Linked DNA regions of Macaca mulatta. The protein of the gene in region 6 interacts with the protein of the main gene of each other region in a pairwise test. Links are inferred from orthologs where the notes say so. Each region holds a gene or a part of one and is shown on either strand. Other genes may lie near its edges. The genes, in order: SRRM4, THAP1, FXR2, STAC3, CEP70, C1H1orf35 and DACH1.

Region 1 (4,012 bases), on a different chromosome or scaffold from region 6:
ACCCTTAAGTAAGTGTGGAATGTTGAAAAGGAAGTGGAAATTGAATGTCACTGGATGTGGCTGCCTTGGGTGAGAATGGGGATGATTCAGGTTTTATCTGGTCTGTTAAAAGACAACTCCAATCCAACCTTTCCTGAGGACTTGGAAACAAATGTTCCCTCCTCACTCTCTACCCCAAACCGGGAGTAACAGTTATAAAACTGGAATCTGTTCTACAGAGAGGCCACGCCTATTACAGAAGTATTACACAGGATTCTCCTAGCATGACATAAATCGAGGGCTTATGGCTCAGGCTTTCACCCCAGGGGTGGTTTCTACGGCAAAGAAGACCCACGACATGAAAAGGCACCAAGAGTGAAATGATACTGGTTGCAGAGGGGGAGTGGAGTATTATAAAAGTCTCAAAAGGATTACATTAGAATTAGCAAAAAGCTGCAGAAAGCGTGAGGGTTGAAAGACCTTGTGCACCATTCATGTGATTGCAAATATGACCAAGAAAAGGGCAGGAAAGTAACAGACAGACAGACAAAAGTGGAAAGTACCAAGCAAGGTGGACATTAGGTGTGCTTTCTTGAATCAAAACACCACCAGGAATCCGCTTTCCTCTCCCCGTACCCCTAAAATAGATGGAAGACTCTGGACTAAATGTCATACTTCTAGTTTCCAGTGAAATTTCCTCTAGTTCCTTCTACAAGGGCATTTTCTTTGGCCAGTGCAGCACCTGATTAGCCAACAGTAGGTACATTCCAAAGGTGGAATAGATAGCAGAAACCCAGGAAGATAAAACCACTGACGTCAAAACTCTATACAAAGAACCTTCTTTGAAGCAGCGAAGCATCAGCTTTTAACGGCATTTGGTATTGTTGTTCCCCTTCTCCAGCCTGTGTCGGTGGGTGGGTGTGTGTCCCCTTCTTCCCATCTGCAAACACTGGCTGGTGCTGCTTCAGCTTGCAGCCTGCTACACGCTACTGGCCTGTTGTGTTGCTTGTCCACCCATTCCTAAAATGGGATACCCATTTCTCTAAAGACCTGTGTGATCCTCTACAAGACGGTGAAGAGGAAAACTTCTCCAGTCTGGCTTTGATTCTTCAGGCGTAATTCCCCATACATCTTCCACCTTACACCCACTGGAAAGTTCAGAATCAGTTGTGCCAGAACAGACGTTCAGTCTGTCCGAATCACTTTTGCAGACATGTTTTCAATCTGCTCCCTAATGCAGACTGCCAGGATTAATAAATCTTCCAAGTGGTCCCCCTGGTCAACTTCTTTCCTTTCTCCCACTAAACCACTCATCCAACACCAGCAAAAGATGAGTTTTCATACTGCCTTGATTTTCCCTGACAGAAGGCACAGCCTTCTTCCTTTCATTCTCAAACTCCTCTAAATTGAATGATTTATGAAAAGAATTGGATTTTTCTCTGTCTTGGAATGCTTCTATTTTCCCCCAACCTCCTCTCCCTCTCACCCCACCTCCTGTTCCCCTCTTTCTTTCATTTTTTCCCTTATTCTTCCTTCCATCAGCACCATGTCTACCACCATCCAAGGATCTGTTCTCATCCCTGAGTTCAAAGCAATCAGATTCTTTTTGGAAAAAAAACAAAAAAGAAAAACAAAATAAAACTCTTCCAAGATCATCTTCACGATCTTGGAAGGCTCCTCCCTGACTCCTGAGCTCAGAGTCTTGGTTTTGGATGCTGGAGAGGAGAGAATTCAGCAGCAGCGGCAGCAGCCGCCAGAAAGGCGTGGAGGAGGGTGCTGTTTTGGGTGTATTTGAGGCAACAGCATATGGGCTTTTGTCAAAAATGTTCAAAGCTCGCTAGCTTCCGAGCCGAGGATGGAAATGTGTGCTATCTCTGAACGCTGCTTGAGCTGGCTTAATTCTCCTTTTCTGGTACAACACCCCCCAAACTCCTCAAATCCACCATTCTTTGGCCCACCTGCCCTCTGGACTCTGTGACACCAAGAAAAGTTTTTCAGTCAAGTCATACCCCACCTGCACCGTCCACCCTCAGGTAGCAAAACCTCTTGAATAGGAGCTACGGGGTTCCGCTGAGCGTTGCCCCCCCCCCCACAAAGAATTCCTGTCCCTTCTCACCATCTTCCACCTCACACAAGCAATGAGTTCCCATGTTTCAGCGGGAGCCGCCGAGTAGTGACGGGAAAAGACAGGCGCCCTGGCCCGACTGCCTGCATCCACCCCTCCGGGCTATAGGGCACAGGCCAGAAAGGGGGACCTTCGGGATCCCCCCCTTTTAAGAAGGAGATCATTACCTTGGCAGCGGCTTGCGGGCCGTGATACTGGCGACAATGATGCTCTCGGGACGGGGGGTGGCCACCGCTTTGAAGGTTCCTCGCCAGAACTTCTCAAAAAGCTGCTTCTCGCCTTGCTGAACGCTCGCCATCGCCAACCCAAAGAGGCCGGGGCGCCCGGGGCGCTGTCCGAAGTGCTGAAACGTGGATTCCAAACAGGGGCGACACCCAGCTCCGGGCTCTGTCCGGGTGAAACCCAGAGAGGGGTGGGGTGGGAGAGATCGGAGTTCAGGGCGGGGGATGGGACGCCCCAGTCCGAGCAGGCAGCAGAGAAAGGAGGCTCGTCCGCCGGGTTTTCTTCGCCCTTCTGGGTCGGCTCCTGGCTGCGCTCTGAGCTGGCTGAGCCTCTGCGCCCCAAGAAGGGAAGGGAGGGCTGGCTTTCTGGGCAGCGCCAGGAGAGAAGAGGCGACGGGGTCGGATGTGTGTGCGTGCGCGTGTGAGCTCCGGCGCGCCCGGGTTTTGTCTCTCGCACAATGTGACGTTGGAAGAGGAGGCTGGTCGCGCGAGCTGCACTTTCCTCCCCTCTCTCCGTTTCTCCTCCTCCCCACCAACCCCCTCCTCCTCAGGCTCAGCCTCCTGCCGCCATCTGCATAACAAAAGCCCGCAGGTCTTGGGAGGAGAAAGGGCGGGGCGTGCGCCTGTCACCAGGGCCCCGCAGCGACCGAGTTGCAGCGCTGACCACTGTGAGAAGCCATCCTGGCACCCCAATCTGCGCCAGGCAGGAGATCCTGCTTCCCAGGCCCCTCTCCTCTTCCATCATCGCCGGCCTTCCTCAGTCCTTTCTTGGGTGCCCTTGGGGCCAGGCCACCTTTCTTCCCAGCCCCTTCACAAGTCTTGTAGCTGATCTTCTGCCGGGGTGGGGGAGGGGCGGGGGGAAGGGGGTAAAAAACTTAATTTATCCACCCCGGCCGGCCTCCACCGGACCCTCGCTTTTGGCAGAGACGGCCTAGGCCGGTACAGAGGGTCCCCTGCGTTCCTCTTTGAGCCAGGGGTTAGCAAGGTCTTCACCACCCAGAAAGTGCCATTTGATCGACAATCCCTCACCAGTTCGGCTTCTCGCCATCTGCCGAGCCGGGCCCCCGCCCGCCAAGGGGCGCAGCGTTACATCTGTGCATGCGGAGCTGTCAAGGGTACCTCTTTTGTGTTTCACAGCCGGCCTGCCCAGCGCCCCCGCCGCCAACCCCGTCCAAAGGAAAGAGTTCCCCTCCCACCCCACCCCACCCCACCCCACCCCACCCCCATCCACTCCTGGGGAATCCGCCTGCAGCCACTTTTCCTAATGCCGCTAGTCTCGGGAAAGGAGCATGTTTTGGAAAAGAAAGCGCTTAATGGGAGGGTTGGAGAGGAAAATCTCGAGGATTAGCAAGGGGAGAGTTACTTTTCGTTCTCTCCTCCCCATCTTCTTACCGCCTCGCAGTTCAATCGTAATCCCAAGCAAGTGGAGGTTTAGAATCCCAGATCAACCCCAGACACACAGGATCTGGTTAGAATGACTCTTGCTTCCCCCCCAGGGTTTTCATTATAAAAAAAGATATCGTGGCGGGACCCCTCAGCCCTTGCCTTCCTGGAAGGCTTTTAATCTTAGCAGAGTTGCTACTCCCCCATCTCCCACCTAACGCCGCCCCACCCCGGCTTCCACTTTCCAGGTTGTCAATTCCTGGAAGGAGGCCTCAATCAGTCTTAAAGGCCTTCAAGCCCCTGG
Region 2 (4,240 bases), on a different chromosome or scaffold from region 6:
AAAGATCATGGGGACATGTGCTGTGCTACAAGGGTTTGTGATAAAGGATTAATTACTATATTATGTAAGAATCGATATCTTTATTTATTTATGAGACAGAGTCTTACTCTTGTCGCCCAGGCTGGAGTGCAGTGGTGCAAGCACGGCTCACTGCAACCTCCGCCTTCCCAGATTCAAGCGATTCTCCTGCCTCAGCCTCCAGAGTAGCTGAGATTCGAGGCATGTGCCAACCACACCCGGTTAATTTTTGTATTTTTAGTAGAGACGGGTTTCACCATGTTAGCCAGGCTAGTCTTAAACTCCTGACCTCAAGTGATCCGCCCGCCTCAGCCTTCCAAAGTGCTCGGATTACAGGCGTGAGGCACTGTGCCCAGTCCATTATTATCTTTAAAGCAAAATTAGGAATGCTTCTGTTCTCAAAATATCGAGATATCTGGACACTTCGAAGTCTGGGTCTGTTTAGTAAACATTATCAATCTGTTGCCTTAATGGTATACATCTAGAGGCTAGGAACACCTAACTTTCCGGGAATGCAGCCCAGCAAGTCCCAGCCTCATTTTCCTAGCCCTCACTCAACACAGAGTCGCTCTATTTCGAACCCCTCTGACATATTCTCTCTCAGATGTGAAAACTGCTGCAGCAGCTCCCTATTTGCAACACCGCACATGGAAATCACAGCAATGGACAGCCCTTCACAAAAGCTTCTGGGGAGGGAGGGCCTGGTGGCTCAACTCCCGTAATCCCAACCCACTGGGAGGTCGAGATAGGTGGATCCCTTCAGCTCGAGTTCTAGACTGGCCTGGGCAACGTGGGGAGATCCTGCCTCTATTTTTTTAAAAAATTACATATATATATATACACACACACGTATATATGCATACATATATACATATATATAATGCTTCTGCGTTGGCAATTCAGATGATTTGGCGAGTGTGTCTTTTTTCATTGCTAAAAACCTGTCACGTTGGCTCTCAGAGACTTGTGATGCCTGAAGACACAGGTAATGGGAAAAAGATCAGCATTCTGGGAAAAGGTTCCACAATTTTATTAATCATACACCATCTGTGTCCGCCCTTTTAGAGAAATGGGCGCAATCAGACAACGACCTCGGCTTTACACCTGTTCTCCATGAGGCCCTAGTTGTTTCCTACTGTAAGCCGCCCCAGAAAAGCTCCGCATCAATTAACCCACGGGAACAGCCCGGGCTGGATGATGCCCCTGGAATCCAGCCTCCCGCCGCGCCTCCTCCCCCGCAAGCTGTTCCTTCCTGCCTACCGGAAGTTCAGGGCTCCGCCCACTTCCGCAACTCTGAAGCCACCGCCGGAAACACCTGGCCTCAGCCAATAGTTAGCTTCCCAGGAATCGTTACCTCTGACCTCGGGGCTAATCAGAGACAGTGGGACGCACCCCTCGCGAGAGGTGAGGTTGAAGCTGCCTCCGCCATCTTGGAGATGGGAGACGGGCGATGGCTGTGGTCCTTCTGCTAATGCAAACAACAAAACGGGCACACTAGTCACCCCAGAGGGAGGCCACCATTACTGTAACTGTTGGCCAAAGCTACAAAAGAGCGAGGGTGTCCAACCGAGCGCGGCGACACTGAAAGCAGCTTCCCCTGCCTTCTGCGGCGGCAGAAGTGAAGTGCCTGAAGACCGGAAGGATGGTGCAGTCCTGCTCCGCCTACGGCTGCAAGAACCGCTACGACAAGGACAAGCCCGTTTCTTTCCACAAGTGAGGACCCTGCGCGCCTCGCGGGGCCGGTCTTAGCCAGGGTGGGGGCGCGCGACCGGCGGGGCCGGGGGCGGAGCCAGGCGCGTGTCCGCGCGAGGGGCGGGTGGGGTCTGGGGCCGGCCGCGCGAGGCGTTTCCCGCCGCGTCCTGCTGGGAACCGTCGCCCGATCGCGCGTTCTCGGCGCGCGTCTCCGCGGCGGTTGTTTCTTGCGCTCTCGGAACAGGTCCTCGTTGCAGGCTTCGCTCCAGGCCTCGGTTGACGAGTTTGGAGCCCGCGGGCGATGCCTATGGTGGCGCGGGTTTTGCCGCCACCAGGGTCACGAGCAGCCAGGTGTTGTAATAACGTCTTAGGGGTAAATTTGAAATATAAACAAAGGCCTTTCCCTTGTCGTGGATGGGAGGCCAGCATCGTAGCAATTAAGGGTTTTTTGGCTGGGAAATCCCGGAGAATTTTTGCCCCAAATCTCTAGGAACTAAGCTTTAAGGACCCTGAGTTTTGAAGAAAGCTTCAGGTACTGCCAAGATAAATCGTTATCTTTTCAGCACACAATAATGATAATATGGATAGTTACAACATGGATCATAATAAAATGACTCACACTGATCTTTATTTATTACGGCATTACCTGTGCATAGAGGAAGCTCTTTCGAAAGAAACTGCCCCACAGCTTTCAGAGCTGTCTTATCCAATAGGTAGCACAGTTAAGAGTGCTAGGATCAAAAATATTCTCTTGAAAATAGGAAAAAAAGTGCAAAGTTGCAATTACTTATGATAATCAAACGCTTGTAAAATGTGACATAACATTCAGCTGAATTTGTTTACAAATTTTAATTACATTTATGTTAAGTTTTCTTTGTAAGAATTCCTGACAACTATATGCAGATGATAGCTAAGAAATCAGATCCAGGGGTAAACTATACAAATTAGTCATAGGTAATTAGCTAATTATCTTTTATAATTAGGTAATTACAAAAGCAAAATGTTAAATATCCTTTCAATTTTTTTATTTTGGTGTGGAGCCATCTATGTTTACTAGGGGAGTGTCCATGCATTTTTTAAGTGTTTGATATCATGTGAGATGGACCCTATAGAAATAAGAGAGTGTAGAACATAGGTCTCCAGAGTAATGATGTTACCCCTTGGCGAAGGGGGTAGAACACTTACAGGATTCAGTTCAGGATATCCTAATATTGTCTCTTAATTTAATTGGAATTTCTGTAAACATGTTCTTTCGAAATGTAGGAAAAGGTCAGGTGATGGTAACAGGATTACATGTGCAGCTCCCCACCCACATTTCTGATGGCATGGCAGAAGGAATCTAAAATTATGGAAAATGTTTCACTGGCACTGGAAACAAGTTTAAGGAGGGTATTCACACGTCAGAAATAACTGTGTTTTTGGCCAGGCACAGTGGCTCATGCCTGTAATTCTCAGCACTTAGGGAGGCCTAGGTGGGCAGATCACCTGACGTCAGGATTCAAGACCAGCCTGGCCAACATGGCAAAATCCCGTCTCTACTAAAAATACAAAATACAGGCGTACGCCTGTAATCCTAGCTACCTGGGAGGCTGAGGTAGGGGAATCGCTTGAACCTGGGATATGGAGGTTGCAGTGAGCTGAGATCTTGCCCTGCACTCCAGCTTGGGTAACAGAGCCAGACTCCATGTCAAAAAAAAAAAAAAAAGAGAGAAATAACTGTTTCTGCTAGGTGTTAAACACATACGGATTGAATCAAAAGAAGAGCTAACCTGCATCTTATCCCTTATCTAAAAGAGCAGGTTTAGGGAGAGTAGATGGGAAAGATTTTAACAGAATCTCACAAACAGCTGTAAATTTGTGGTCCTTGTGCCAGGAGGCCCTAGGTACTGACTGAATTTTAGCAGCAAATGCTACCATAGTTTATGCTTACAGAGCCAGGAGGCCATAGGTACGGAATTTTACCAGCAAATGCCACCCTAGTTTATACGTATAGAGGCCATTTCCAGCTGAGATTTTCTTCTTCTCTTTTTGAGATGGAGTCTTGCTCTGTCACCAGGCTGGAGTGCAGTGGCACGATCTCGACTCACTGCAACCTCTGCCTCCCCGGTTCAAGCGATTCGCCTCAGCCTTCTGAGTAGCTGGGACTACAGGCGCGCAACACCACGCCCAGCTAATTTTTTTTTTTTTTTTTTTTTTTTTGAGACGGAGTCTGGCTCTGTCGCCTGGGCTAGAGTGCAGTGGCCGGATCTCAGCTCACTGCAAGCTCCGCCCCCCGGGTTTACGCCATTCTCCTGCCTCAGCCTCCCGAGTAGCTGGGACTACAGGCGCCCGCCGCCTCGCCCGGCTAGTTTTTTGTATTTTTTAGTAGAGACGGGGTTTCACCGTGTTCGCCAGGATGGTCTCGATCTCCTGACCTCGTGATCCGCCCGTCTCGGCCTCCCAAAGTGCTGGGATTACAGTTGTGATTACAGGCCACGCCCAGCCCCAGCTGAGATTTTCTAGGAGTACCACTTATCCCACCGTCTGCATA
Region 3 (3,500 bases), on a different chromosome or scaffold from region 6:
GCGAGACTCCGTCTCAAAAAAAAAAAAAAAAAGAAAAAGACTAGCCTGGCCAACATGGTAAAACCTCGTCTCTGCAAAAATACAAAAATTAGCCAGGCATGATGGCAAGTGCCTGTAATCCCAGCTACTTGGGGGGCTGAGGTGGAAGAATTGCTTGAAACCGAGAGGTGGAGGTTGTAGTAAGCCAAGATTGCACCACTGCACTCCAGCCTGGGCAACAGAGCGAGACTCCATCTGAAAAAAAAAAAAAAAAAAAGCCGGGCACGGTGGCTCAAGCCTGTAATCCCAGCACTTTGGGAGGCCGAGACAGGCGGACCATGAGGTCAGGAGATCGAGACCATCCTGGCTAACACGGTGAAACCCCGTCTCTACTAAAAAGTACAAAAAACTAGCCGGGCGAGGTGGCGGGCGCCTGTAGTCCCAGCTACTCGGGAGGCTGAGGCAGGAGAATCGCTTGAACCCGGGAGGCGGAGCTTGCAGTGAGCTGAGATCCGGCCACCGCACTCCAGCCTGGGCGACAGAGCGAGACTCCATCTCAAAAAAAAAAAAAAAAAAAATCAGCGCACACTGGATTTTAGATGCTGTTACCACAAATGGAAGGCAAATCCCCTGAAACTGGGGATGTCCCTCAGAGTTTGGCTGATCATAACAGTGATGAAAGGGGAACTGTTGCATTTTACATTTCCACAGGCATGTAGCCTATGGAAATGACTTAGTGGCTGGATATGGTTTAGTTGGGGAGGAAGGAATATGAACCAACCAGAGAAAAGCCTAGAATCCTGGGAAAACGTGACATTTAGAAAGGGTGTACTCCACAGCCCTTACCTCCACTTCATCCCCTTCTGTGATCTCCTTATTATAGTCAGCTGGAGGTGGTAGTCGGACATCTCCAAAAGGAATTTGTCTCTCACTCTGCCAGCTGTAAGAGAAACAAGAATATGAAAAAGCTACTCTGACTGATACGGTTGCCCATTTCTTTACAAAAGGGTTATTGCCTCGGCTGGGCGATTCCCACCTATCTGGATAATCAGAGGCTAACCCCCAGGTCCTGCTCCATAGTGGTGCCATCCATCTCTTTCTAGACTCTAAATACTGGGCCAAACGCCCCCGCCCTCACCAAATTCTCAGCCCTTTCCTCTCCTGGGATCCATGTAAGTTCCCCACCCAAACCCTCAGGTCTCCCCACCTATTACATGCCTCATAGGACTCAGCCGCCCCCTCTTCTCCACTCTCCTTCTAGGACCTAGTATGCTGGATTCTCTATTCCCAAGGTCTTACTTGTTTTCAAAGAAGATGGTGACAGAGTCTTCATGGACATCCTTCACAAAGCCCTAGAATGGATTTTAGAAAAAAGTAAAAAATATAAAATGACCTTTTACTTCCACCTTAGCCACCAAGGGAATAGAGACACCACAAACCCTTAAACTTGAGTTTTAGATAGGGACACAAGTGGTGTAATGAGAGAGCCTGAAAGGCTGCACTGGGGAAAGAATATGGGCAGTCAGACAGAGAAAGGAAATTATATTGTCATGGAGAGGTGTATGTACCACCTGCATCAGAACAGCCTGGAAACCGGTGATCTACTCAGGCTCCCACAGGGGCCTCCCTATCTGTCTGCCTCCTGTTGTGCTGAGCAGCCTGCCAGAGTTCAATTAAAATACCAACAACATTCAGCAAGGCTAAGAATATCCCATGAGACAGTGTGAGGCTGTCCTGGAACACCTAGAGGACATGAGGATCTGTCAAGAGAGAGAAAGGCCTACCTCCGCAATACAGCAAGAGATCTGAGCAGACTCGCTGCCCTGATGCATGGGTCCTAAGACAATAATCAGAACACTAGACAAGTTCAAAATTGTGATGAACACAATTTACAGAAGGAAAAATTAAGACTTAAAATACATCAGAGTTTTTTAATACTAGAATTGAATCTAGAATGACACTGAAAATTTATAAAGGATAACAAAATGTATGGAAGACTCCAAACTTGATATTATGACAAGAGGAACAGGGACGACTGAACAGCTGATCCATCTCCTGTGGTCTATGTCCTCACTAAGGAGGCCAAAGCCATGAGTTCACCCCTGCGCTCCCAATTTTTCTACCTTCCCCCTATTTGTCACATACAATTAGGGATTTCTAATTTTGAAAAAGGTCTAGCTTATGAATTTATTATTTTATCAACTGTGCTTTTGGTTTCATATCTAAGAAATCTTTGCCCAGGCCAGGCACAGTGGCTCACACCTGTAATCCCAGCACTTTGGGAGACAAGGCAGGCCGATCATCTGAGGTCAGGAGTTCGAGACCAGCCTGGCCAACATGGTGAAACCCCATCTCTACTAAAAATATAAAACTTAGCCAGGCATGGTAGTGCATGCCTGTAATCCCAGCTACTTGGGAGGCTGAGGAAAGAGAATCACCTGAACCTGAGAGTCAGAGGTTGCAGTGAGCCAAGATCGTGCTATTGCACTCCAGGCTGGGCGACAAGAGCAAAACTCCATCTCAAAAAAAAGAAAAAAGAAATCTTTGCCTAATCCAAGGCCACAAAGGTTTTCCCTTATGTCTTCTTAAACTTTTAGTTTTTTGTTTTACATTTACATCTATACTCCTTTATTTTTAGACAGAGTCTCACTCTGTCACCCAGGCTAGAGTGCAATGGCACAATCTCTTGGCCCACTGCAACATCCACCCCCTGGGTTCAAGCAATTCTCCTGCCTCAGCCTCTCGAGTAGCTAAGGTTACAGGCAACCGCCACCATACCAGGCTAATTTTTCATATTTTTAGTAGATATGGGGTTTTACCATGTTGGCCAGGCTCGTCGCGAACTCCTGACCTCAGTTGATCCACCCGCCTCGGCCTCCCAAAGCTGGGATTACAGATGTGAGCCACTGTGCCTAGCCCTATAATCCATTTTGAATTAAGTTTTACATATAAAGTGAGGTATTGATCAACGTTTTTTAAATTTTTTAATTTTTATTTATTTTTTTTGAGACAGAGTTTTGCTCTTGTTGCCCAGGCTGGAGTGCAATGGTGCAATTTTGGCTCACCGCAACCTCCGCCTCCCAGGTTCAAGCAATTCTGCCTCAGCCTCCCAAGTAGCTGGGATTACAGGCATGTGCCACCATGCTCAGCTAATTTTGTATTTTTAGTAGAGACAGGGTTTCTCCATGTTGGTCAGACTGGTCTCAAACTCCCGACCTGATCCACCCGCCTCAGCCTCCCAAAGTGCTGGGATTACAGGTATGAACCATTGTGCCTGGCCTCTTTTTTTAAAACATATTTTTATTTATTTATTTTTTTTTTTTTTTGAGACGGAGTCTCGCTGTATCGCCCAGGCTGGAGTGCAGTGCCCGGATTTCAGCTCACTGCAAGTTCCGCCTCCCGGGTTTACGCCACTCTCCTGCCTCCCCCTCCCAAATAGCTGGGACTACAGGCGTCCGCCACCTTGCCCGGCTAGTTTTTTGTCCCGGCTAGTTTTTTGTACTTTTTAGTAGAGATGGGGT
Region 4 (2,928 bases), on a different chromosome or scaffold from region 6:
TCCCCACTCTACAGCAACCAGCAGTACGCTTGTATCAAAGATCTCTGTAAGTGCCCTTTATGGAACATGAGGGAATGGGCAAGCCTAGAGATGGTTTCATGCCATCTCTAGCTTTGGAAGCCAAATTCTGAAACAGAAACTTTCTATTTCCCATAATTCTCCCTCAACCTAACATTTTTATATCCATTTGGATGCAGAGGCAATATCCCCATTTTACAGCAGAGGGAGATAAGATTTAGTTGCAACTACATACGGTTAGCAAGAGGTAGCGCCAAGACTGGAATCTTCAGTTGCTAGCTTCAGAATCTGTGCTCTTCATGTGCAAAATCATTTCTAAGCAAGAACAAGGATTCTAGATTGTCCTCATCCTTACTACAGAGTCATACCAGACTTGGGGCAAGACCTAAAGGCTGCAGGCACCCTGGGCATGTTCATAATTTGGCAACCCTTAAAAGTATATTCATTGACAAATTTGCTCAACATTTATTTGGAGCAGAGGCTGAACTCTGTGAAGAGCATGGGTGAAAAAGAAGAACCTATTGGTGGCAGCACCTCAGCTTACACATGCCATTCAGCAGAACAAAAACCAGAAGTTAAGGGCCCATTCTCCTTAGAAGGAGAATAGTGATTCTGAGCATGTCTCAACTCCCAAGCAACCAAAGTTGTCTTTCAAACGTCATATAATGCTCTGCCTGGAAGGAGTTCTGATAAATACTTTTCTCCCTCACATTACATCACCAGTGATGTTTTTAGAGTCCTTTCTAGATCGGTGTCCTAGGTATTGCTCAGCTGACCCTTCCCTAATCTTCCCCCACGGCGCCCCCACTGCCACCCAGCACACACATGGGTATCCATCTACTCGATCCTGCCTTTCGCTTCCTTTCCTCCAAGCCTTTCTCTGCCTCCCCAATAATGTCTTCTTTCTCCTCCAATTTGATTAGCTGCTGCCAATCGCAATGACCCTGTGTTTGAAACCCTGCGCACTGGGGTGATCATGGCAAACAAGGAACGGAAGAAGGGACAGGCAGATAAAAAAAATGTGAGCACTGTACCTCCCCACGAGGTCCCTCCCAGAGATCCCATGGAGCAGGTCATTTTCCCATTTGGGAAGCTGACAGAAGTAATGGATTATCTTCCCCTAAAATTGCACATAACCCGACCAGGCATGGTGGCTCATGCCTGTAATCCCAGCACTTTGGAAGGCCAGGGCGGGTGTATCATGAAGCCAGGAGATCAAGACCATCCTGGCCAACATGGTGAAACCTCGTCTTTACTAAAAATACAAAAATTAGCCAGGCATGGTTGTGTGTAATCCCAGCTACTCGGGAGGCTGAGGCAAGAGAATCACTTGAACCCAGGAGGCGGAGGTTGCAGTGAGCTGAAATCACACCACTGCACTCTAGCCTGGGTGACAGAGCAAGACTCCATCTCAAAAAAAAAAAAAAAAAAAAAAAGGCCGGGTGAGGTGGCTCACGCCTGTAATCCCAGCACTTTGGGAGGCCAAGGCGGGTGGATTACCTGAGGTCAGGAGTTTGAGACCAGCCTGGCCAACATGGTGAAACCCCGTCTCTACTAAAAATACAAAAATTAGCCAGGTGTGGTAGCACACGCCTGTAATCCCAGCTACTTGGGAGGCTGAGGCAGGAGAATTGCTTGAGCCCAGGAGGCGGAGGTTGCAGTGAGCCGAGATTGTGCCACTGCACTCCAGCCTAGCCGACAGAGTGAGATTCTGTCTCAAAAAAAAAAAAAAAGAAAAGAAAAAGAAAAAAAAATTGCACATAACCCAACAGAAATATTTTTGCATGCAATTTTAGGGGGTTTTGGGACCTACTGCAGCTCACTCACCATGGGCCTCTGGTTAAGAACTCTAGCCATAGATTACGTTTTCTCAGCTTCCTTCTGAAATAGTCAGATTAGCCACTACAACCACATGAAGGCTAGGCCCAAAGTCTTTGGCATTGCTGGGTGACAGAGGCAAGAGCTGTGCTTTTGGATGTAGGAAAGAGAACTTGTCATGCCAAGTAACTGGAGAATTCTAGAGCCATGCAAGGATCCATGAAGATCATCTGGTCTGACCCATTCATTTTACAGATGATGAAACTGAGGCACAAAGCTACTGGCCAAGATAAACCTCATTTCCTTTTGTAACAGGGTTTCTAGGTTAGTAATGCCATAGATTTGCATTCAGTTCAGCATGGAATTTGTTAGAATATTCTTATATCTTTCTGGACAACCAGGGTTGGACCAGTATGGATGATGGTTACAGTTAGATGGACTCCTAAAATTGGTTGAGTGGCAGTACTCAGAGTCCAGGTCCTTTCAGTATTATACAGCTAGAGGGAGATTTCTGGTGCGTTATAACATGATTTAGATATAATGAAGATACAAATTGTATGTTCATGCCGGGTGCGGTGGCTCACGCCTGTAATCCCAGCACTTTGGGACGCCAAGGTGGGCAGATTACTTGAGGTCAGGAGTTCGAAACCTGCCTGGCCAACATGGTGAAACCCTGTCTCTACTGAAAACACACACACACACACACACACACACTATATATATATATATATATATATATATATATATATATATATATCCAGGGCGTGGTGGCACTCACTTGTAATCCCAGCTACTTGGGAGGCTGAGGCAGGAGAATCGCTTGAACCCGGGAGGCAGAGGTTGCAGTGAGCCACTGCACTTCACACTTCAGCCTGAGGGAGAAAGCAAGACCTTGTCTCAAAAAAAAAAAAAGAAAGAAAGAAAAGAAAAGATAAATGTACATATTTGTTCTTGATCAAAAAATCACCTGCAAAAAACAGAACTAGAAATCTGGCCTCAGACTTGTTGATATGGAGGTTGGGCACAGATAAGGGATTTCTATGGAGTGAATTCTGACTTACAAGGCACTAGCAGTGTGATTTGGCTGCTTCC
Region 5 (3,500 bases), on a different chromosome or scaffold from region 6:
TACTACCATGGGCCAGCCTACCGTGTATGTCTGGCCTCTGAAGCACTAGAGAATAGGAAAGCGAAAGTATTCAAGAGTGTACTGGGTTGGGGAAAGCTACAACATCTGTAGTTTACCTTTCTTGGAAAGGCAGGAGGGAAAAGACACAAGGATGGAGGCGGCTGGCTCCATGTCTTTCCCAGCCTTCTTTTCTTCCAATTTTTAAAACTAGTAAAATACACATAAAATTTACCATCTTAACCATTTTTAAATGTAAGTTCAGTGTTATTAAATATGTTCATAATGTTGTGCAACCAACACCACCATCCATCTCCATAACTCTTTTCATCTTGTAACACTGAAACTTTATACCCATTAAACAATAACTTCCCATTTCCCTCCTCCCTCTAGCAATCACCACTCTACTTTGTCTCTATGATTTTCACTAAGTATCTCATATAAGTGGAATTATATAAGTGGAATCTTCTTGTGACTTATTTCACTTAGCATAATGTCCTCCTAATGTTCACCCATGTTGCATGGGTCAGAATTTCTTTTCTTTTAATGGCTGAATAATATTGCAATATATGTATATACCACATTTTGCTTATCCACTCATTCCTCAAACCTATCCTACTCTTTAAAGCCAAATTAAACTGAGCGAAAAAACTAATAAGGGAAGATGGTTGTCCCAAACTTAGAGGTTGTTACATATCAAATAACCTTTAATATGAGGCCTCAGAGAATCTCATGCAGTTTCTTAATTTGGACCCTGAAACTGTAGTATTAATATCTGAAGCACTGCTCAAAACCCATGAGTTACTCCAAAGGCAGAAGTAACTAATTCTTAATAATTTCCTCTTGGGTGTCCTCAGAATATTCTAATTATAAAGTGAATTCCTTGCCTCCTCCTACTCAGAAAACTATACAATAGCAAGAACTCACCACCACGGCAAAGCCTTTCTTGGGGGCTATAATCAGAGTGTTCTCTTTCTCCTCCAGACTCTAGAGCACAAGTTATCTGCATCATTCACTCAGAACTTCATCACAGGTAATCTATTTTTATGTCACTCATTTCTTTTAATGGTATCATAAATGATTACATTTTGTTTCATATTTTTAAGTATATTTTGTCTCTCTAATTAGTGTGAATCTTGTGTTCATCCCATAATGGCTTAGCATGATAAATGTTTCATATTTTTAAGTATATTTTGTCTCTCTAATTAGTGTGAATCTTGTGTTCATCCCATAATGGCTTAGCATGATAAATGATCAATAATTATCCATTAATGTGATTCTTCCCTTTGTCTTCTTCCTCTTCTAGTCTTTTCTTCTAGGAAGGTTAGGGCTTTTTCTAGTCCTTCCCTTCTGAGAAGGAGAAAGGTGGAGTCAGCACTGTTCCCTCCTACTGGGAGAACCCTCTGACAGGCAATGATTGAGGAAATACCATGATTTACATGATTACTAATTATTTTACACTCTTCTGAGATACAGACTGGAGGAACTCCGGCCTATAAAGTAAGTATATTAATCCAGCACTGTCACTCAATCAAAATGTTTGTGTATTATGTAGCTCTGTCTGAGCCCTATATAAAAAGGCAAGTAGAAATTTTAAAAAAATTAACATCACCACCCCCAATTTTGTTGTCTTGGGATATATTATTCTGCTTCATTCCTTTAACAAATATTAATTGAGCACTCGTTCATCAGGAGGATCTTGGGGACATATCAGAACAAATAAAAACACTGTCTTCGGGGAGCTTATACATTCTTAACAGATATCTTCTGCATCACTTGTACTTCATGTAATAAGACTTCTGTTGCAAACACTATTATTGAATCACATTTTCATTAACAGGCGTATGCTATGTATTATATTAGTTACTAAGAAATCTAAAGTTTAAAGGGCAAAGAAGTTAAATACTACTGATTTCAACTATTTACCTTTCAGCAAACTAGTTAAAACTGAAAAAACCTGAAACCATGCAATACACAATAACTCTATAAAGTAAATAAAATGTAGTCTTCCATGAATAGATAGGATAGGGAAGGGTAGGGTTGGCTGCTAGCTTACTATCTGTTCTAGAGAATAAGCAGAAATGGAGACAAGCTCAGTTCTGAGAGACAGAAAATAAAGTGTGAAGAGAGAGAAAATATCCCCAATTATAACGAAATGAAGGATAAGACATTATATCTGAAGAGGAATAAGGGCCAGGAAAATCGTAGCATGGACATACCAAAAGGAGGCAGATGAAGGTAGAACAGGGAAAAGCCTGGAAGTACAAAGTGGATCCACTATAGATTTTCAATAAGGAAATTAACCCAAAAATTTCTTGTTTGGTAGAGCCTTAGAGGAAGTAAAGCTTACAGTAATGACAACATCAAAACAGTACGTAAAATAGATATGTAAGTAGGAAGATTTCAGTTTTAGATAAGTTTTTTTAGCTTTACAGTTAACAAACAAAAAATTAAACCCTATTTAATTTCTAGCCCTAAATTAAGTCCTATAAATAAAGCACATAGAGTCCAATAGATGTTCAAAGCATATAAAGAATAGTCAACCCCTTACCTTTAAGGATGTCAGTTGATCTGCCCACATTTCTATTATAGGAACAAGATGCTCAAATCCACAATCTTGAATAAGATCTTTATTAAAATTTTGGGCTCCCCCTTTGCTCTGTTTATAAATTATTACTGGAGCTCTTGGATTGTGGATAATTGAATTGATGCTACATAGCACCTTTAAAAAAAACATAGTGTATTTAGTCAAAATATTTATCCTATGCCTACAAAGTTATATATTTTAAAGGAGTGCTTTATGTCTATATATATTATATACATGCATTTCATTAAATATACAAAGAATTATCACAAGGAATTGGTTCATGCAATTATGAAGACTGACAAGTCTCAAGATTTGCAGAGAGTAAGTGAAGACCCAGAAAAGCTAATGGATATTTGCAGTCCAAACACAGGCAGACTGAGACCCCTGCAAGTGCGAATGTTTCAGTTTGAGTCTGAAGGCAGGAAAAAAAAGTGTCCCATCTTGAAAGCAGTCAGCGGGGAGGAGTTCCCTCTTATTCAGCCTTTTGTTCTACTCAGGCCTTCAAATGATTGGATGAGGCCTACCCCATTAGGAAAGGCAGTTTGCTTCACTAAGTCTACTGATTCAGATGTCAATCTCATCCAGAAGCATCTTCCCAGACACACATCCAGAATAATGTTTAACCAAATATTGGGCATCCTATGCCACAGTAAAGTTGAAACAAAATTAACTAATACAAACACCCATATAATCACTACCTAGGTTCAACAATTGTTAGTATTGTGCCATATTTGCTATCTATATTTTGAGGTGAACCATTTGAAGAAACTCTGCACCCTGAAATAATAAAGCGTGCATCTTTTAAAAGTAGGCATATTCTCCTACAAACCCACAAGACCGTTATCAGACTATTTAAGGAAATTAACAGTAATCCCCAGGCTTAGTATGGTGGCTCATGCCTGTAATCCCAGGTTGA
Region 6 (4,034 bases):
TTAGCTGGGAGTAGTGGCAGGCGCCTGTAATTCCAGCTACTCAGGAGGTTGACAGGAGAATCGCTTGAACCTGGGAGGCAGAGGTTGCAGTGAGCTGAGATAGTGCCATTACACTCCAGCCTGGGAAACAAAAGCGAAACTAAAAAAAAAAAAAAAATCACCAGGCCTCAGACTCCTGGAAGACAGACCCCAGCTCCAACCTCCCAGTGGGATCTCATTTAACTCGACACTGACCTTCCAATTAGGATGATACACCTTCCTTTTAAAATATATTTATTGAAATACAAAGAGTCAATGTAAGGAAAAATAGAGGTCACCATACTTGGCCACAGTTAGACCGCTCATAGGCCCATGGCTGCTGTCTCTACTGGCAGAGGGAGTCCAGCTTCTACTGGTACCTCTGGGCAGGTTCACCTTCACAGGGCAAGCCAGGGACCATCCCCGCTATGTGAAACCTGGAGGTTTTCCAGAGCTAGCTGTCTAGCCATTAGCCCCACAGGCTGGTGCCCAGAGCCACTTCCACAGGAGCAGCCCCGGGCTTCACCCACACACGAGGGGCTTCCGAGGCAGGAGGCAAGCAAGGCAAAGGGAGAGTTCAGGGTCCCACAATAGCAGTGAGCAGGGTCCAGCCATCAGGCCTCAGAGCCTCTGTCATGCCACCTGCGAGACGGACTTCTCCTGTCCCCACTGTGTCCCCGCTTCCTCCTCTTACAACAGGGGGAGTTGGAATAGGAGTCGTGGTGGTGCCTGGGCCTGGGGAGACCAAGGGCAGTCACTCAGAAGGAGTCAACCAGGCTCCCACCCACAAGAGGCAGACACAGACCAGGGCATACCTCTCGGGAGATGTGGGAGAGGAGGCAGCCTCAGCTGGCTGCCTGTGCTCTTTGTCTTTCTTCTTCTTCTCTTTCTTGTGTTTCTTCTTTTTCTTTTTCTTCTTCTCCTTCTTGCTTTTCCTGTGGCTCTCAGAGCTACAAGGAGGATACAAGGCGCACCTCAGACCCTAGTCTTGCAGGCCAAGAGAGTGAACACAGACCCCAACCAGGAGATGAAGCCACCACCCACAAGTGCGTCTTTAAATCAGTTAAATCAGACTACCAATTCCACTCCTCAGTAATGCAGTCACGTGGCCAGTGGCTGCCCTGGGTTAGAAACTGATGCGATATCCCTATCTCCACAGCACGGCCCTGTTACACCCCAGCTGTGCCCTTGACAGGTTGACACCTTCCTACTTGCACCCACCAGGCCACTCTTGGGGTCAGGCCCAGGCTCACCACCCAAGAGAAGCCCTGGAGGTGCCACCCATGGAAGGAAAAGGCCCCGCCGCAGGTCCTGAGCGCCCTCCCACGGCGCAGCCCGCGACCACTGCCAGTACTTAGGACCTCTCTTCAAGGGTGACCCGAGAAACTCCCCTAGAGAAAAACCTAGGAGTAAGTGGGACAGGAAGTAAAGTAGGGCAGGCCACCGGCCGGGCCGGTGCGCCAAGAGAAGCTGCCACCTGCCGGAGCGGGAGCCGCTGAGGTCCTCCCGAGACCCCCTCCGGCGCGCAGCTCGCCCAGTAGGTGCAGCCTCACCTGCTTTCCGTCTGATCCTCCGCCCGCGGCTTCCTCCTGGCCGAGGTTGCCGAGGTCCCGGGCCCGCCGCTCTCTACGCGGTGATGCTGCGGGAGAATCGCGCTCTGGGGAAGAGTCTGAGGGCCGGCCCCACACCACGCCCCGCAGCGCCCCGGGGAGCTACGTTCAGTGCCCCCGCCCTGCGCCACCCCTGTTGGCCCCTGTTGCGGTCAGGCGGGGCGGGGAATTACCGTGAACACAGACAGCCCCAGTTTGGCGGCTTCCTTGTCCTCTCGGGACATCGCCACGCGGCCCACGGAGCCACTGCAGGAACACGGCGATGAAGACAGTCCGTCAAGGGCCCGCCTCACCCGAGCAATTCTGCCCTCCCCTGGAAACCTGCTCGCACCTGGCGCTCCCCAGCCCCAGCAGCCGGTCCACGCCCTTCTCCTCCGGGTCGCCTCCTTCCCGCTTGCAGACCTCCGCGAAATCCTGCAGGTGCGGGAGCACAGGCAGCGTTCCGGACGGCCCCACACCCACGGCCCTCCACGTGCCCCCCACTCCAGGGAGTTACCTCCTTGCTCAGGCCCGTGGGCTGCTTCTTCACGTTCTTGTAGCCACTGCGAGAGGACCAGAGCAGGCGTCAGGACGGACAGACCTCCTCCCACCACGGGTCCTCACCACTCCAGCCTTCATCCTGAGGGTCCCACCCGCGCAAGTCCCCGCAGCCCCGCCCCCGCCCAGCCCGACCCCCAGCCCCCGCCCCTGGCCCCACCCTGCCCCGGCAGCGAAGTCCCAAGCACCGACCGCTGATGTCCGCGGACACTCACAGGGCGGCCAGCAGCGCCTCCCGCTCCGCCTCCCGCACTGCTGCCAGTTCCTCCTCGCGGCTCGGGCCCGCGCACGGCGCCCGGCCCTTGGCGTACCAGGTGAGGTCGCGGCCCTTCTGCCAGCGGCCTACGGGCGCCATCAGCGAGTTGCCTGCGGACGTAGGCGCCGTGAGCCCAGCGCCCCCCGGGAGGCCGCCCGCCGCGCCCACCGCGCCCACCGCGCCCACGGACCCAGGTAGTTCTCCCGCTGCTTGTCAGTCTTCACGTCCTCCCAGTTGAACTGGTCCTGCCCGCCGCGCACGCCTCCGCGACTGGAACCGAACATGGCGCCCGGGAGGCAGTTCCCTGGGGCCTGCGGCCTGCGACCCGCAACCCCGGACCCTCTGTACCCACTACCGTAGGACCCAGGCCCGACCCCGCCTTCGCGTCGCGCGCCGTGACGTCACCCGGCGCCCACCCGGCTTCGCCCCGCGCGCCTGCGCAGCGCACCGCCCCGGCTCTGTGCTCCCGCGCGTCACCTTCAAGCAGGCTTTGGGCGCCTGCGCACTGCGCCTATCCTGCCCAGCGCGGGAACGCCTCTGAACTGTACGTTTAAAAATGGTTAAAACCGGCCTGGGCGCTGTGGCTCCCGCAGCACTTTGGGAGGCCCAGGCAGGCGGATCGCTTGAGGTCGGGAATTCCAGACTAGCCTAGCCAACATGGTGAAACCCCGTCTCTACTAAAATACAAAAATTAGCCGGGTGTGGTGGTGCACACTTGTAATCCCAGCTACCCAGGAGGCTGAGGCAGGAGAATTACTTGAACCGGGAGGCGGGGTTGCAGTGAGCCGAGATCGCGCCACTGCACTCCAGCCTGGGCGACAGAGCGAGACTCTGTCTCAAAAAAAAAAAAAGTTAAAATGGGCCGGGCGCGCGCTTGCTTGCGCGCCTGTAGTCCCAACGCTTTGAGGCTGAGGCGGGAGGATCTCTTGAGCCCAGGAGATCGCGCCACTGCGCTCCAACCTGAGCGAGTGAACGAGACCCTGTCTCATAAAAAAAGAAAACACACAGGATGCGCCTAGCTAACACCGCCAATTGGTCACTGCCAGCCGCGATTCCATATGGGGAGCTTAACAAGGTAATGCCCTAATGATTTGTGGAATTTCTGAGTATTACCCAGTAAACTTCTGGATGAACCAGCAGCTACCCAGACACCCTCAGAGCACTGGTCCCATCCTTGCCGTGGTAAACTGAATGTGCACCCTAACTCCCACGTGAAATCCCCAACCCAAGGCGTTGGTGCTTCGGAGGTGACTAGGTCATGACGACAGAGCCTTCATAAAAGAGACCCGAGAGCTTTGTGCAGCTTTCCACTGTGCGAAGGCAGCGGGAAGTCTGTAGTCTGGAAGAGACCCCTTCCCAGAACCTCAGCATGATGGGCACCCTGATTTTGGAGGTTGTGGCATCCCCCTGCTTCACCTTTCCACTTTCATTCCCAGTGGTGACCAAGAAGCAGAGTCCCTTAGCCGCTCTGTGACCTCGCCAACGGTATAATTTCGTCTGCAGACTTGAACCTGAGCCATAGCCATGAACGTTCCCAGGCACAGATGACAGCATCTAGGTTGTTGCTCAAAACACAGAAAGAAACTGGACCCAGCCTGAGCCAGATTCCTTAA
Region 7 (3,500 bases), on a different chromosome or scaffold from region 6:
GAGATCAATGTGGCACTCACTGGCGTTCTCTCAGGTGGCGATCTTTGAGTAGTTGATCCGGGTCTTCTGTGAGACTTTGGGTTATTTTTCCTCTGGTATTGATACTACAGAAACTGCTCAAAGCATCTGGGACATATCTTTGTTTTTAGAGCCTTTAACATGAGAAAAATTCCTATTTGCATATTACTCAACATTGTATGTAAGTAGTAACAGGGCCTTTTACATAAGATGTGCTCCAGAGGCTACCCTAAAATTTAAGTGTATTGTATTCAGAAAAATGGGATAATTGTAATGTCAAATAATGATCATGAAGCATAAAATATCTTTTACTTAGTTTAAAAATCAATAATCTATTCTTAATTTTTTGTTATTTCTTACTCCTTGGCCAATCAGACAATGCACTTAAAATAATTTGATTTAAGTACACATTTTAAAATAATATAAAGGAAAAAGATTATATATACATATATATATATATAAACTCATACAATTCACACACATACACACACAGATTCACAGGGATAGAGGAGACAGAATTGTGTATATATGCACATATGAAGTTTATATAACAATAATGTTACCTTCAATTTAGTGTATTTTTGAATGTGTGGAAACTTCCAATTTTATTACTTCATTTAGTTTTCACAAAATAATCCACACTAGATTATGCCTTTATTAGATATTTACTAGAATCAGGAAGATTGAATTACATGTCTAAGGTGACAGAGCTAGAAAGTGGCAGAATTTATCCCTTCTGGGCTTCTGATTCTCCTCACATAAATGCTCATAACACCACACACACATACACACAACTACCCATGTAAGAACACAGACAATTTGAACTATAACATTTAATGTCCTATGTTTTTCTCTATCTTAATAGATATATAGAGAATTTAAAGCAACCCTAGCCTGCCTAAGTAAGTAGTGTGCCCCTGGGGCCACTTGCTACTCTTTAAATAATCTATTTACTATCACTTAGCTTTTTAGAGTTCAAATGTACTTATGGAATAAGAAAAATGGATTAATAGATGGTGGCTTAAGATGAACATGCCAAAATAATTGTATAAAAAAAGAATTACCTTAATAACTGATGTCTCCACTCTGGATGGGGGACTCTGAACTTGTGCTGCTGCAGCCATATTTGCAATGGTGCTGAGGTGGTTCATCTGGCTCATTGCCATGGTGACAGACGCTGGAGGTAGGCTGACAGGAATTAGAGGGTGGGGCATCATCATAAAAGGAAGTTCCAGTCCTATAAAAAATGCACATATATCATCATTGCTCTGGAGGGCATAAATCATTAAAAATTGAAACATTCAAAAGTTTTCTAATAATGATAGTCAAAGAAAAAATATTTTTCCTCTTCGTATGCAAAAATTTCACTCACTACTCAGAGAAACTAGGCTTATAGCTATTTGGTTTGGTCCCATGGTTTTTCATTTCCTAACTTTTCCTGTGTTTAATACAAATGGTCAATTCTTTGCTATATTATTCCTGTAATCTGTCTGAATCTTGCTTAAAATACTAGGGTGTTCTTTAACTTATCCCAATTAGTTATGTAAATATAGTATATCTCTGTATTATGTCTTATTTTGCCAACTGATAATTACAATTTTTAAAACTACGATTTTTTAATGCTAAAAAATGCCATCGTACCATTTGGCAGAAGGTGGCTCTGCTGAAGATGGTTGAGAGGATGACTAAGTGGAAGGCTACGTGCTCCAGGCAAGCGGGGCTGGGTTACAGAGGCCTGAGGTCCCTGGGATGGGGAAGAGGGCAGTGTTTCCTTATCCCAGGAACCATCACTGCTGCCTGTGGGGAATGAATATAAATTACTTGGATATAATATTATTCCAAATCTTAAAACGACTAATTTAAAATGACGTTTTAAAAAATATATCACATTTGGAGTTGGAAAACTGATTTCTAGGGAAATAAGCTGAGGTAAGTAAATTTCCCCTAAGCTGCACATTCTTTTTGATTTTCTGTTTCTTATATAGGATCTCAAAATTTTAAAAAATAGTATTTCTGCAACATTTAACCTAGTGGTGGAGTCTAATACTGTGTTGGCTATCCAGCTTAATATTAAATTGTCTCTATTATATTAACTAGATAATTAATTACTCCTTGGAATTGAAACACACTAATATTTATAGAATGCAAAGTTATCCTTGTAGTAAATGACATCCTAGGCATCAAATAAAGTGCCTAACTTCATTACACAGCAAATCCTAAAAATGGAGCCATTAAATGTCCAGCTTGGTTAGACATTGTACAGAGAACACAAAAGATCACTTTATAGAATATAATGCCAAAGCAAAAATTAAATATGCATGCATATTTGTATGAATAAATACATCACTTGTTTTCAATAAAGAGAAATATACATTTATGTCTCCATGTCAATGTCACTCAACTGAGGACCTGCATTTCAACATTGGTGGCAATTCCTTGGATTTTAAAAGCTCACGAAATACCTTATTAGAATACTCCTTGGAAGGTGTTTATAAATCATTTCAATTTCAATGTGCTCTCAAATTAAATTAATTCAATATTAATTTATTCCTTAACTGAATCTGTTGAAAATACAAACTATCCACTTAGAGGAAATTTCTGTAATATCTCTATTAGCTCATGACTTTTTTATTTCTTAAAAAAAGAAACCATATTTTCATATAATATGCATAGAAACAGCAGAGTTGGTAAAACTCCAATTTGATGCTTAAACTCTGCTAAAAGCCTCATTGTAAAATCTCTATGACATAGTTCTTAATGAAGAATACTTAGTTACTGCCATGATTTTTTCCCATTTACTTCATGAAGACAGTTAAGGTTCAATATAAATTCAAACTCATTAGCTCAATACTGTCTGGATCTTAGAGTAAATTGTTCAGAAGTGGGTAATGAAAACTCAATTCAAATTCTTCAGCAATCAAACAAAGCAATTTTATTAAACAATGAAAAGAATCAATTAAAATGGATATCTTTATTATCTTTATTATTTTACAAGAAACCATGACAGCTTTTGGTTTTAAAAAAGTTTATAGCTTTATGCAGAAACGACTCACATAAATGAAATTTCTCCAGCTTGCTCCTACACTGTGATATAAAAGTTCTTTTCATATTCACAAATTTATACACCTTATTTCTGTTCTCATAACTTTTTTGACACTTATTCTAAGGTACTAGTCAAACATGCAAGAACTATAAATAGATGAATTTTTCAAATGTATGCTATCAAGAGATTATTATTATAAAACATTGTAAACATCTTCTCTTTACATTGCCTTTATCAAAGTACATGCAATTTTTTATTGCAGGCTTAATTCCCAAAATCTGTGGGATCTGATTTGGTCAAATGTTATGATTCAGCATTGATTTTACCTTGTATGTTATCAGTTAAAACTGACTATCGGGATATAGAAATCATGCTTTGGAATAAATATTATTTTAATATAAAAATTGTGCTGGAAAGTAAGAAATAATAAGTAATTTTC

The links.
Region 1: the proteins of C1H1orf35 (region 6) and SRRM4 interact in binary tests that used the Homo sapiens proteins (3 or more experiments, as listed by UniProt). The link is inferred for Macaca mulatta from reciprocal best matches to the Homo sapiens genes C1orf35 and SRRM4.
Region 2: the proteins of C1H1orf35 (region 6) and THAP1 interact in binary tests that used the Homo sapiens proteins (3 or more experiments, as listed by UniProt). The two-hybrid records come from large-scale screens. The link is inferred for Macaca mulatta from reciprocal best matches to the Homo sapiens genes C1orf35 and THAP1.
Region 3: the proteins of C1H1orf35 (region 6) and FXR2 interact in binary tests that used the Homo sapiens proteins (3 or more experiments, as listed by UniProt). The two-hybrid records come from large-scale screens. The link is inferred for Macaca mulatta from reciprocal best matches to the Homo sapiens genes C1orf35 and FXR2.
Region 4: the proteins of C1H1orf35 (region 6) and STAC3 interact in binary tests that used the Homo sapiens proteins (3 or more experiments, as listed by UniProt). The two-hybrid records come from large-scale screens. The link is inferred for Macaca mulatta from reciprocal best matches to the Homo sapiens genes C1orf35 and STAC3.
Region 5: the proteins of C1H1orf35 (region 6) and CEP70 interact in binary tests that used the Homo sapiens proteins (3 or more experiments, as listed by UniProt). The two-hybrid records come from large-scale screens. The link is inferred for Macaca mulatta from reciprocal best matches to the Homo sapiens genes C1orf35 and CEP70.
Region 7: the proteins of C1H1orf35 (region 6) and DACH1 interact in binary tests that used the Homo sapiens proteins (3 or more experiments, as listed by UniProt). The two-hybrid records come from large-scale screens. The link is inferred for Macaca mulatta from reciprocal best matches to the Homo sapiens genes C1orf35 and DACH1.

What each region holds. Positions count from the first base shown.
Region 1 is NC_133416.1:126,266,866-126,270,877, reverse strand, and holds the start of SRRM4 (serine/arginine repetitive matrix protein 4), read right to left. Parts: upstream 2,801-4,012; 5' UTR 2,403-2,800; coding exon 2,272-2,402; intron 1-2,271. UniProt on the Homo sapiens protein: Splicing factor specifically required for neural cell differentiation.
Region 2 is NC_133413.1:44,941,713-44,945,952, reverse strand, and holds the start of THAP1 (THAP domain-containing protein 1), read left to right. Parts: upstream 1-1,440; 5' UTR 1,441-1,660; coding exon 1,661-1,731; intron 1,732-1,857; exon of another isoform or gene 1,858-2,011; coding exon of another isoform or gene 2,012-2,061; intron 2,062-4,240. UniProt on the Homo sapiens protein: DNA-binding transcription regulator that regulates endothelial cell proliferation and G1/S cell-cycle progression.
Region 3 is NC_133421.1:9,095,700-9,099,199, forward strand, and holds part of FXR2 (RNA-binding protein FXR2), read right to left. Parts: intron 1,634-3,500; exon of another isoform or gene 1,557-1,633; coding exon of another isoform or gene 1,551-1,556; intron 1,332-1,550; coding exon 1,279-1,331; intron 920-1,278; coding exon 826-919; intron 1-825. UniProt on the Homo sapiens protein: mRNA-binding protein that acts as a regulator of mRNAs translation and/or stability, and which is required for adult hippocampal neurogenesis. Specifically binds to AU-rich elements (AREs) in the 3'-UTR of target mRNAs.
Region 4 is NC_133416.1:64,405,861-64,408,788, reverse strand, and holds part of STAC3 (SH3 and cysteine-rich domain-containing protein 3), read left to right. Parts: coding exon 1-46; intron 47-941; coding exon 942-1,039; intron 1,040-2,928. UniProt on the Homo sapiens protein: Required for normal excitation-contraction coupling in skeletal muscle and for normal muscle contraction in response to membrane depolarization. Required for normal Ca(2+) release from the sarcplasmic reticulum, which ultimately leads to muscle contraction.
Region 5 is NC_133407.1:41,506,304-41,509,803, forward strand, and holds part of CEP70 (centrosomal protein of 70 kDa), read right to left. Parts: intron 2,720-3,500; coding exon 2,549-2,719; intron 1,498-2,548; exon of another isoform or gene 1,304-1,497; intron 1,031-1,303; exon of another isoform or gene 914-1,030; intron 1-913.
Region 6 is NC_133406.1:85,852,808-85,856,841, forward strand, and holds C1H1orf35 (multiple myeloma tumor-associated protein 2), read right to left. Parts: upstream 2,801-4,034; 5' UTR 2,706-2,800; coding exon 2,612-2,705; intron 2,532-2,611; coding exon 2,381-2,531; intron 2,171-2,380; coding exon 2,125-2,170; intron 2,043-2,124; coding exon 1,960-2,042; intron 1,875-1,959; coding exon 1,802-1,874; intron 1,658-1,801; coding exon 1,572-1,657; intron 969-1,571; coding exon 834-968; intron 754-833; coding exon 633-753; 3' UTR 313-632; downstream 1-312.
Region 7 is NC_133422.1:66,324,247-66,327,746, forward strand, and holds part of DACH1 (dachshund homolog 1), read right to left. Parts: intron 1,816-3,500; coding exon 1,660-1,815; intron 1,256-1,659; coding exon 1,083-1,255; intron 1-1,082. UniProt on the Homo sapiens protein: Transcription factor that is involved in regulation of organogenesis. Seems to be a regulator of SIX1, SIX6 and probably SIX5.